3 separate regions of the Mus musculus genome follow, and all the other regions are reported to be linked to region 2. Evidence: microRNA targets listed by miRTarBase, many of them from high-throughput screens and not tested one by one. Region 2 holds a microRNA gene; each other region holds the end of a gene's coding sequence.
What was found. The annotated mature microRNA mmu-let-7e-5p reads UGAGGUAGGAGGUUGUAUAGUU and lies in region 2 at 2,516-2,537, opposite strand. An mRNA with a match to its seed (bases 2 to 7 or 8) in the 3' UTR can be bound and repressed. Matches are read on the target gene's strand: a 7mer-m8 pairs with bases 2 to 8, a 7mer-A1 pairs with bases 2 to 7 and ends in A, and an 8mer does both.

Region 1 (4,055 bases), not on the chromosome of region 2:
AATCAAAATCTAAAATATTCAAAAAACAATTTTTTAAAAATTGGAAGCAGCCAAGCCAGATGTGTCAACTGCAAATCATTGCCCCTGAAAGTGAAAGATGGGAGATGCATTTGGAAATGTCAAGAATCACATTCACTGTCATCTTCTGCCTCCTTACAGGTCCATGATGGCCGCTGGCATCAGACACTGTTCACCTTCCGGACCCAGGACCCCCAGCAGCTGCCCATCGTCAGTGTGGACAATCTCCCGCCTGTCTCATCAGGGAAGCAGTACCGCCTGGAAGTTGGACCTGCGTGCTTCCTCTGACCTCTGACCTCTAGGCTCATCTAAGCCTTGTGGGGAAAGGGAAGAGATGGGGACAGCTGGTCCCAGGAGATGCAGGCCCTTGCCTTAGGATCCTGGTGCAGGTCCTAGTTGTTATCTGCTCAGCCGGAGTTGAGAAGGAGTAACAGGTCTGAGGCTGTCCCGGAGAACCACCCATCCCAGCTCAGCCCCAAGAACCAACCAAAGAGCCAGTCAAAAGCAAGCTGGGTTTGCAGCCCACTCCAGCCCATGGCCTGTTGCCCAGCTCTGTAGACATCCCTGCTCCCCAGCTGCCCAAAGACCCCCTCCCCATTGATGCCACCTCAAGGAAAGGGGGCATGTTGCCAGCTGGTTCCCGCTAGGGAGCTTTCGATGTGCAATATTAGAAAGGAGACATGGAAAAAAAAAGAGGAGGAAAAGGAAAGAAATCTATATATATTATTTAAACAAAGAGAAGGTGTGTTACTATTTTTTTCACTTGGGAGAGGTGAGGAAGAGCAAGAGAAGCTGGGGGTGTGGAGAGGCAGGTCCCCCAGGCTGGGATGCTGGCCCCTAGACTAGGGTGCTGACCCCTGGGCTGGGGTGCTGTGTGCTACCTCCCACTGTGAAATCGCTGGTGCTCACAATTGTCTCTTGTAATGTATGTGATTTTTTTAAGGAGAAAAAGAAACTTATTTAAGATTCTGAAGGTGCTACTATTTTCTGTTGCCACAGGCTTTAAAGAAACTTTCTGAATGGGGCCTGGCCCACTTCTCTTTCTCTCCTCCAAATGAGGAGTTAAAAATGTTACTAGCATAGCCCACCCGTGTAATCCGTTGAAAAGGAACAAAAGGAAAAAAGAAAAGAAAGAAAAGAAAAAAAAAGAAAAAGAAAAAACAAAACAAAACAAAAAAATCCTCCTAGAAACCAGAAGTAGAGAGATTTCTGCTAATTCTGGGCTTTGAAGCGTACGTCTTTTGAGGGGGCATTTTGATGTGGTCCTCCTTGCTTCTGGAGGGACTTGGTTCCCTTTAGAAAACCTGCCCTGGGAAAAGACTTCTTGGTTTTGAGGAAGATCCTTGGTTAGCGATGATCTTGGAGGTGGACTAAGTCCAGAGCCATCCCTGAAGCCAGGTGACTGTCCCAAGGTCTTCCCTCCCGGGAGCCCAACCTTTCGAGTGCAGCCAAACCTTACTGCTTTTACAACATTGCACAGCTGTGTAGAAACCCCGTGTTCTTTCCCATAGGTGCCAATTTGGGTGGGGGAGGAAGGAACAATTACAAGATCCCCATCTGTCTGCCCATGCCACCTAAACAAGTCAGGACTCCAATTGGATTTTGAAGTTATTTTAATTATAGAATTATTTTTTTAGAAGAAAGATGGATGTGATAGTCTATATTTGTGTGTTTCTAAAGTTGTGTCTTGTGGGGGAATTGGATTCCATTTTAGTTATTTAATACCTCACTCCCACCCACCTGCATACTGCTTGTGTGTCCCGGCCTGTCCCGCAAGCCTAGTTGTGCTTTTTGTTGTCTGTTCCCCGTGCCCCCTCCTGTGTCTCACTCTGTCTTCTTGTCACTTGATGTGCATTTGCTGTTGTTCTTTCGTTTCTGTCTAAATGTCAGTGTGTTCAAACCCCCAGAGGGTTCTGTTTTTCCCATTCCCTTCTGGACTTTAAATAAATATTTAAAACTGAGCAATGGAAAGACGAGTCTGTGGTTTGATGCTTCTTCACGGTGCTCAAAGGCAGTTTCTGCAGAAGGTGAGAAGATGGGTGGAGGGTGTCCTGCTGAAGCAGAGATCCTCACTGGGGCTTGGAGCTTAAAGCTCAGGACAATAGAAGTGCTGTCTGCCCAGAGGTCTGAAAGTGGGGCGTCACAGTGTAGGAAGAGGCATTCTCTATCCAAGCCCCTAAGCCTGGAGCAGTCCTGTCATGGTCCCTCCTCTTCCAGCTACACTCCAAACTCAGGGGATGGGGCTCAGGGGTTTGCACTTGGTGTTGAACCATACATTGTTTCTAAATTCATTTTGACAGCGATACTGTTACATCTCATTGTTCTGGGTCAACCCTCCCCAGAATGTTTAGTTACTACAGGTGCCATGAGAGCAAAGAAAAGAAGTAGCTATACAGGGTGCAATTTACTTGGGATCTACTACAGAAATGTGGTCCTGGGTACAGCAGCACCAAGTGAACTATTGTTTGGGCAAGAAGGAAGGGGACGTTCTCGCCACAGGGCCTGGTTTTAAAGCTCCACATACCAGGGCTGGGAAGATGACTCAGTTAGTAAAGACTTTGCTGTCCAAGTGTGAAGACCAGAGTTCAAGTCCCAGACCCACATAAAAAGTCAGACATTGTGGTACACACTTGTGTTTTGGTTGTTGTTGTTACTGTTTTACATTTTGACACAGAATTGAAGTTATATATTTCTTACACTGGTACAGAATTTTGGATATTGATACAGGTTTAATGTTTTCATTGGTGGGGCTGGAGAGATAGCTCAGCGGTTAAGAGCACAGATTGCTCTTCCAGAGGTCCTGAGTTCAAATCCCAGCAGCCACATGGTGGCTCACAACCATCTGTAATGGGTTCTGATGCCCTCTTCTGGTATGTCTGAAGACAGCTTCAGTGTACTCACATATAGTAAATGAATAATCTAAAAAAAGTTTTCATGGGTATAAATCTTTGTATACTGATATAAAATTCAAAATTAATTTTGTTACTCTTAGATGGGCATTGTGTCTGTGCAACTCATTTAAGAACACAAGACTTAGACCCAGTCCTTTTGATAGCTGCTATTACAAACTGTTTAGTATGATTAATTAATACAAGTTGATAGTCATGGCCATATTAGATTCTAATTTAGCTAATTACAATAAAGTGTTTTCAAAGTTATTCAAATAGTAACTAGCTAAAAATAATCAATATTTGACAATTCAGTTCTGCTATATATAGATAGATGGTCTTCAAAGGCATCAGAGATCCACAGAATATGACAGGTAATGTTATTTTATAATTAAAAGATATTTTTAAAAATTGAACTATTTTTATTATATTCAACACAATATATATATTTTTATGCCAATCATAAAAATGGTGGGCATGTTATTAAATGAACATAAATAGATAAATTTTTGTGTTTCTTTGTTTGTTTGTTTGTTTTGTTTTTAGTAGAGCTTTAAAATCTTGGCTCTTACTGTGGTACAAACCCAAAATAAGAACAATTTTTAGACATTGGAGTTCATTGTAATAAGGCTGTATTTCAATGTCCCTCACATCACCAAAGGATTTTACCTCCATAGTAGCTAAGCTAAGAGTTGACAGTTCTGCTGCGCCAAGGAATGAATTGTAGGCTCGATTATTTGGATACAGATTTCCTGCTATGGTCAAAGCTATTTGACTTGAGTGATTGTCATCATTCTCAGCCCACAGGGAACAGGTTACATTCATTTAAGAAATGGTGTGTGTTTTAAGATGGTCTATTCATGAAGTCATTCATCAATGAACAATGGTTTCAATGAACAATGGTTCTGCTTGGAGGGTAGCACAGACATTAGGTCCTCACCTAAGATTCTGGTTCATTGGCTGTGATGATTTTGAAAAGCACTCATCTCAGAAAAAGAGTAACTTATAAGGTCCTCTTCTTCAAAATTGATACAATAATTATAAATATTAAGCAAAACATTCAGTCTCACTCTTTGTTGTTCTCACAAGCCACCTCCCAAATTAATTGTCTACGTTTCTTTTGGCTGTATAAATAATTTTGAAATATGT
Region 2 (4,066 bases):
ATAAACAAACAAAAAGGAATTCTCACATAGCTATAATACTCCTATCTAATATACTTAAGAGACTGTGTGCCCAGCAGTTGGGAGCATCTGGTGTGATTAGTGTTAATCACATCTTTTTGAAATTCATGTCCTCAGATCCTTATGTCTGCTCCATACAGCTACATGTGTATGGTGTTCTCTAATGTCCCAGGAAGAGTCTGGCCCTGACTATGTCTATGTCTTCCCCTGAATGGCTAGCTCCACTCTTCCTATCTTCACTAGCCATGAGCAATGTGTGTGTGTGTGTGTGTGTGTGTGTGTGTGTGTGTGTGTGTGTTTTGTTTGAAGGGATCATATCTTCTATAACACCTATCTCAAAAAAGAACCATTCCTTCCCAATGAGCTCCGACCTCTCTGGGAGATAAAGAGAATGTCTCACCCTAGGAGATGAGAATGTCCCACCTTCAGAGATGACAAGAATGACTCAATCTGAGAGCCTAAGAAATTTACTATCTTACAGGTGAGTAGTTGGAACCCAGGTTGAGAGGCAGGAACACATCCAGGCTTCAGAGTCCTGACAGTGAGAATCCCAGATAGGTCACATGTACTTGACCCCACAAAAGCTTCAGACTCCCTGTGACTTATTTACTTCCCTCAGTTCCTTGCCATCTTTGACTCCCCTCATCTCTGGAGTTTCCTCAACAAATAACCTAACTCAGACAGGTTCCCAGGGTCACTTCCTCAAGATGACTTTCCCCACCACTTATGCCCATAAAACACTCACCCCGTCGTCTAGCAGCCTTCTCCTGAAGAGAAACTGTCATCTGTGTAAATTCATCATGCAGGTAGCTCCTCTCATCATAGTCTGAAGGTAGATGAGACACCATGGCACAAACCTGGTTCCATGGTGTTCTCTATGTCCCACTCATGGCTGAATATCTCCAAGCCCTGTGATCATCCCAGATTCTATAGCCCCAGTCTATTGTTCTATGTGCCCCACCTAGAGCTCTCTCTCTCTCTCTCTCTCTCTCTCTCTGTGTGTGTGTGTGTGTGTGTGTGTGTGTGTGTGTGTGTTTCCCTAACCCTAACCTAAACCTTCAATCTTGGTATCTCTCCATCCATCTAATCTCTCTCTCTCTAGGCCTGTTACCTGGTACCCTGGATCTGCTTCCTCATCTACATCTTTACTCCAACCCCATTGGTCTCTGTCCCACCTATCTCTAGATCACTGTCTCTCTATTCTTCCTGAAACTACTCTCTGTATCTATACCTATGTCCCTCACTTTGGGACTCTGTTCCTGTCTTATCTCTATGTACCTTACTCTCTGTGTGTCTCTCATCTCTCTGGATTGATTCCTAGCTCTCTGTCCCTCTCTCCAGGTCTCTAATCTCCCCACTCATCTGTGTTCCCAATCCATATCCTCTCTCTGAGCAATGCTTCTACTTTTCCATCTCTTTCCCTTACTGTCTTTAGACTCTCTCTGAGGCACTGTTTTGTCTGTCTCCACCCCACTCTGGACCTGTTTCCTTCCATTGTTTCCACCTGTCTCTCTTCTCTGTGTCTATGTCATGATCCTGTACTTGGCTTTTCTTCTTGGAGTAGCTCAAGGAATCTCCTTCCCCTCCCCAGGGCCCTGGTTCAGGAAGGAGGGGCTCCTCACTGATTTTCATGTCTTTGAGATCTTCAAAAGCCCCTTCAAGCTCATTTCTGCACAGGTTTATCTTGGTTTCCTCTCTGCCCACAAACAGCTGGCAGACACGGAGGCGTTCCTCATAGGTAGTGAAGCAGAAGAGACAGGCCCACGTGGATGCCCTGAAGATCAGCAGGAACAACAGGACAATGCTCCCTACTAAGGAAATAAGACCCATAACAGAGGGTCTCCGGGTCTGAGGAGAAGATAGTGACCTTTGTGAGGTCATTGTGGGGGAGGGGGAGCCTGTGATCAGAGATTGAGTTTCAAATGATGGTCAAGCATCAGGCTCCAGCTAGAGGAAGGTTGCCAGGGGTCACCTGAAATCCCTAAATTTGTGGCTGGGCCAGGCGCCAGGCTCCCAAGAACCTCACCTGTGACCCTGGACGTCCTCACAGGTTAAAGGGTCTCAGGGACCCAGAGGCCGGCAGTGTAGCTATGGTGGACCAGAAAAACCCTTTTCCCCAGAGGTGGGAACGGGGAAGCGAGACAGAAACAGATACCCTAAGCCCCAGAAGATAGAAAGGAACCAGGAGATGCCTCAAAAAGCTCAGAAACCCAGTGTCACAGAGATACATTCACAGCACTAGAGAAACAGAAGCTTCTAGAACCCTAGAGACATTGGCATAAGAGACAGAGACAGAAAATTCGAAAATCTCAAGATGGCATAGAGACTGCAAAGAAAAGGGATAGGATAGAATGTGAACAGAGAAGACACCCCAGCTCCTATCAAGAACTCTTGGGCAATGGTGTGGACCTGGGGTCCCCGCCGGCCCCTTCCAGTGCAGGGCGCAGCCTGGGGAAAGCTAGGAGGCCGTATAGTGATCTCCTCGGGTGTCTTCCTCAACTATACAACCTCCTACCTCAGCCCGGGGGGCGCGGCAGGTGGGCAGATTGACAGATGGATTGATGGGAGACCAGAAGTAGGGAGGGTGGGGAGGGCCGGGGAGGTCCCAGCCGCGATGGTGAGCCCCCGACACGGACCCACAGACACGAGCTTGTGTGCGGCGAAGGCCCCGCAAGGTCGGTTCTACGGGTGGGTGCCAGGACCCAGGAGTCCGGGCCCCCGGCCCCCTCCTCCCCAAGGAACCCAGGAATTCAGTCCCAGCCCCAAAATCTAAGCCCCAGCCCCCCTCTTTCAAGGCCAGAGATCCAGACCTCAGCCCTCCTCCCTCAGTCCCAAAGCTTCCTCCCTTAGACTAAGGGGTAGTGGTCACAGCCCTCCCTCCCACAGATCCAGGGAAGCAGACCCTGCCGCCTTGCACTCAATTCTCCTCAGTCCAGACCCAGGGACTCAGTCCCTAACCCTCACAGTTCTCCTCCACCCCATAGCCCTCCCCGGCAGACTCAGGGTCCAACCAGGCACATCCCTTAGAGAAGACAATCTGGTTAGAGACCTGACTTCTGCACTGCAGAAAGGATGTATCCCCGTTTGTCTTGGCAATCTGAGCCCCTTCTGTAACCCCTAAAGGTTTCATATCCCAGGCCTGAGTTAAAGGCCTTCTGAGTATCAGAAGTCCTCATGGGTCTCATGGAATAATCCTATCTTTTCCAAAACCATTCTCAACCTTTGGGGTGATAGCTATGGTCAAGGAATAATGACACCAACCAGGACCCTGTCTCCTCAACACCTCCCAACTCAGAAATGAGGTCGCTCCCAGCACACAGGAGCCCCCAGAGGGGAAGCCACTAGACCAAAGTCAGTTGTCGGCAGGTGGGAGGAGCCCTAGGACCTGCACCCACCCTGAGGCTCTGAGCACAGAACTGGTCTTCTGGGGCTCCCAGGTTCCATGTCCGTCTTCTTGTTTCTTTCTCTCCACCCATTTTTTCTTACCTTGCTCTTTTCTTATTCTCCCTTTCTTTCTCTGTTTGTATCATCCCTGATGAGGTTTTCCTCTTCGCCCATATCTGAATGCCTGCTCCTCCCGCTGTCTCTGTTCTAGCTGACCCTCTTTACATTCACCTCTCTTCCTCACCTCCTATCTTCTATATCTACTTCTCAAGTCTCTTCCTCTTTTTCACAATCTTCTTTCATTTCCTTCCCTGGCTTTGTCTCTCTTTTTCTCTGGATTCCTATCTCCCTCTCTTTTTCTCCTCCCTGCTTTTTTATTTAGTCTAGCTTCTACCCTCCTCCCATCTTCCAGTCTCCTCCCGGGGTCTCTCCCTTTCTCTCTCTCTTTTCTCCTTCCCTCTTCTCCATCCCCTCCCCCCATTCTTCTCCCTTTCTCCTTCCCTCTCTCTCTTCTCTCTCTCCCTCCCCCTTGCTGCTCGGAGCCAGGTCTGGAAATGGGGGTGGAGTGGGGATGGAGTGGGGGTGGGTTGAGAAGGGGCCCTGGGCCGGGGTAGCGACCTGCTGAGGAGGGGGAGGAGAGGCGGGAAGAGGGCGGAGAAGCAAA
Region 3 (4,055 bases), not on the chromosome of region 2:
CATAGAATTAACACAGTGAATCCTATCATCTTACCAAACGCAATTTATAGCTCCAATGCTATTCCCATCAACATTCCAACACAAGTCTTTACAGAGATTGAAAAAGCAATTCTCAACTTCATATGGAAAAACAACCCAGGATTAGCTAAAACAATCCTGAATAACAATAAAAGAACTTCTGGGGGTATCACCATCCCTGATCTTGAGTTATACTACAGAGCAACAGTAATAAAAACTGTATGGTATTGGTATAGAAATAGACAAGTTGACTATTGGAATAGAATCAAAGATCCTGAAATAAACCCACACACCTATGGACACTTGATTTTTGACAAAGAAGCCAAACCACACAATGGAAAAAATGGAAGCATCTTCAACAAATAGTACTGATCTAACTGGATGTCTGCATGTAGAAGAATGGAAATAGATCCATATTTATTATCCTGTATAAAACTCAAGCCCAAGCCTAAGTGGATCAAAGATCTTAACATAAACCTGGATACATTACATCTAATAGAGGAAAAAGTGGGGACTAGCTTTGAATGCACTGGAACAGGAGACAACTTCCTTAACAGAACACCAATGGCTCAGGCTCTAAGATCAACAATTGATAATGGGACCTCATGAAACTGAAAAGCTAATATAAGGCAAAGAATAGAACGAAATGCCAGACTACAGATTGGGAAAAGTTCTTCACCAGCCCTACATCTAACACAGGGCTAATATCCATAATATATAAATAACTCAAGAAATTAGACATCAGCAAACCAAATAACCCAATTAAAAAGTTGGGTACTGAGCTAAATAGAATTATCAATAGAGGAATCTTAAATGGCCAAGAGGCACTTAAAGAATATTCAGTGGCCTTAGTTATCAGGGACATGCAAATCAAAATGAACCCGAGATTCCACCTTACACCAATCAGAATGGTTAAGATCAAAAACCCAATTGATAGAACATTCTGGTGAGGATGTGGAGCAAGAGAACACTCCCCTATTGCTGGTGAGAGTGCAAACTTGTACAACCACTTTGAAATCACTTGGCATTTTCTAAGAAAACCAGGAATAGTTCTTCCTCAAGATCCAGTTATACCCCCAAAATACCCCACTATATCACAAGGACACTTGCTCATCTATGCTCATAGCAGCTTTATTCATAATAGTCAGAAACTACAAACAACAGAAATAAAGAATAAAGAAAATTTGTTACATCTACACAGTGGAATACTATTCAACTATTAAAAACAAAAACATCATAAAATTTTGAGGCAAATGGATGGAACTTGAGAATATCATCCTGAGTGAGGTACCCCGGAGCCAGCAAGACAGATGATATATACTCATTTATAAGTAGACATTCGCCATAAAGTGAAGGATAACCATGCTTCAATTCACAGACCCAAAGATACTGGGTAATAAAGTAGGTCCCAAGGAATGATGTGTAAATCTCACTCAGAAGGGGGAAATAGATAGCCACTGGAGGTGGATGAAGAGAGAAGACGGCGTGAGGAGGGAAGCAATCATGTCAATCAGGTGTGGCAAGAGGTGGGGGGCTGCAGAAGGCTGGGAGTGAGAATGGAAATGGGGGGGTCACTAGTGATTAGCTGGGCCTGGGACAGGAGATGATACTGGGAGTCTATGGGGGTGACCCTAACTGAGATTCCTACCAGACGGGGATAAAGAGACTGAAGAGGCCACCTCCTGTAGCCAGGCAGGACTTCCAGAGGAGGGAGGGGGACATCAATCCACCCACAAAGTCGTCAACACAAAATCTGTCCTGCTTACAAGACGTGCAGGGATAAAGATGGAGGAGAGACAGAGGGAACAGCCACCAGCAACTGCCTCATTGGCTGAGACCCATTCATTCCATGGGAAAGAGTCAACCCCTAACACTATTAATATCCTGCTATGCTTGCAGACAGGAACCTAGCACGACTGTCTCCTGAGAGCTTCATCCAGCATCGGAGGGAGGCAGATGCAGAGACCCATAGCCAATCACCAGGCAGAGATCTGGGACTCTTGTGGAAAAGTTGGAGATAGAAGTGAGCAAGTTGGAGGGGTCAAGGACACCATGAGACCTACAGTCAACTAACCTGGGACCATGGATGTTATGGAGCCTGGGCCACAACCAGGGAGCTTTCAGAGGCTGGACCTAGGCCCCCTACACACTTGTAGCAAATGTGCAGCTTGGTTTTCATGTGGGTCCCCTAACAACTGGGGCAGGGACTGTCTCCTCTTTCTTACTGGTTTCCCTTCCTCTAACTGGACTGCCTGGTTAGGTCTCAGTGAGAGGTTGTGCCTAGTCCTGCTGGGACCAGGTGTCCCAGGGTAGGTGGTAGCCAGGGGGGCTCCCCTTCTCTGAGGAGAACGTAAGGGGCGCTGGGGAGGGACTTGTAAGGGTGTGACTGAGGGGAGAGAAGGGAGGGGCTGTGATTGGGATGTAAAGTGAATAAAAAAATTAAATGTTACAGTGCAACCAGAACTTATCTTGTGTGAGTGTAAGTGAATCTAGGTGGATGTATGTAGGCTGTATGAAGATCGCATGCTGTTTTATAAAGAGACTGTCAGTAGATTTTGGTTTCATGATAGGGGTAGCGATGGGTCCTGGAAGCCATGCCTCTGGATACCAAAAGGTAATTATATATATAAGTACACGAGGATGTAAATGTCTCTGCTCCTGCCCAATACTTTTCTTAAACAAATGGAAGCCCAGTATATTCTTTTCAGTTTTGAGTGGAGAAGTTTCATATCCACAGCATGAACACAATGCATTCTTCTTTACAGGTCTGTAATATTCCAATGAAATGCCTAGTCTTGTCTTTTACAACGTACAATCCTAGTTTTACATTTTTATTTACTTCTATCTCAGTACATTGGTGTTTTATCTGCATGAATATCTGTGTAAAGGTGTCAACTCCCCTGAGGCATTACAGACAGTAGTGAGCTGCCAAGGGGAAGCTGAGGCAAGAGGGCTGCACACAGGAGTTTGAGAACAAGCCAACGGCAAAGAGAAAGGAAGCAGGAACGGCTACCAAGCCCTGCAGTCCAAAGCTTTCCTCAACATTGCAAGGCCTGTGACTAAGACAAATCAAGGTTAAAAATTCAAGTACACACTGACAACACACAGCCTCACCAACATGTCTCCCTAACCGTTTTGACATCCACACTTCTATTTGACTAGGCTTTTCTGCCTTAAGACAGGGTTTCTTCCTCAACTTGAAACTGGATCTTTGGACAAGGAGGAGTAGTGGATGTCTCCGATCAGGGCAGGGCAAATCAAAGCTACAACGAGACAATGTTACTCCAGCTGGAAAGCTATGCTCAAAACAGAAGAGAAAATAACCATGGTAGCAAACGATGCAGAGCGTGCAGAGATGGAGATGCATCATGGATAAGATGTGCAGCGTCCCAGGACATTACACTGCACATCTTGATTTTAAGCTTCTGGCCTCTTGAGCTCAGAAGATAAATCTTACTTAGTTTGGGCTACAGAATATGCAGTCATTTGTCATGGCGAATTCCGTGTAGTCTGAACTAGCATAAACTCTCAGCTGTAGCAAGCTGGGCCAGTTGACCTGTCATGGGATGGTCCTTTCTCAAACACTACTATGCTCCATAAGGCAAAGACCCAGACACGCATGTTTGCAGTTCTTGCTTGTTTTTATTTATCTTAGGTAGACGCTTTCTATCAAGGAGAACAAAGCCGAGGACAGATGCTGCTGTGTTACCCAGGGCTCAGACGTTAACACACTTGGCCTCCACACCTTTCAACAACTTCAGAAGTGCCGCTGGGTTATATGGAAAGAGATTTTTCTCCTGCAAACGGTAAATTGCTCCCTGTAGCTCCTCAAGGCATTTCACTGTACGAAGAAACAATCCCACTTGCCAGACAGTCCCGTCTGCAGCAACTCTACCCTTGGCAGAGAAGGGAGAACTGGACTCTGCAGAGAGCAAAGGCTCCAGGCTATGTTCCTTTTGCTCCTCCCATGTCCTAGGCAGGCCCTGGATCTCCTCAGACCTTTCTTGACATAAAGATGTCTGTTTGCTGTTTGCTAA

Region 1: miRTarBase lists Col27a1 as a target of mmu-let-7e-5p. Seed matches in the 3' UTR shown: 7mer-m8 at 896-902 and 7mer-A1 at 1,741-1,747.
Region 3: the mRNA of Lins1 is a reported target of mmu-let-7e-5p. Seed matches in the 3' UTR shown: 7mer-A1 at 1,302-1,308.

The regions. Positions count from the first base shown.
Region 1 is chr4:63,333,003-63,337,057 of GRCm38, forward strand. Col27a1 (collagen, type XXVII, alpha 1) reads left to right here. Exons shown (of 61, transcript NM_025685.3): 61 at 160-1,989. The coding sequence ends at 306. The region is part of intron 1 of Gm52743 (a long non-coding RNA gene); the gene reads right to left. Among named protein-coding and RNA genes, the nearest start is that of Orm1, 9.5 kb to the right of the region's middle.
Region 2 is chr17:17,828,837-17,832,902 of GRCm38, reverse strand. It overlaps Mirlet7e (microRNA let7e), which reads right to left and starts at 2,551; the gene lies at 2,459-2,551. It overlaps Spaca6 (sperm acrosome associated 6), which reads right to left and starts at 1,928. Exons shown (of 9, transcript NM_001162909.1): 1 at 1,641-1,928; 2 at 764-844. The coding sequence starts at 1,899. It overlaps Mir99b (microRNA 99b), which reads right to left and starts at 2,715; the gene lies at 2,646-2,715. Mir125a (microRNA 125a) reads right to left here and starts at 2,091; the gene lies at 2,024-2,091.
Region 3 is chr7:66,714,333-66,718,387 of GRCm38, reverse strand. It overlaps Lins1 (lines homolog 1), which reads right to left. Exons shown (of 8, transcript NM_152815.2): 8 at 1,132-4,055. The coding sequence ends at 3,735. Among named protein-coding and RNA genes, the nearest start is that of Lins1, 26 kb to the right of the region's middle.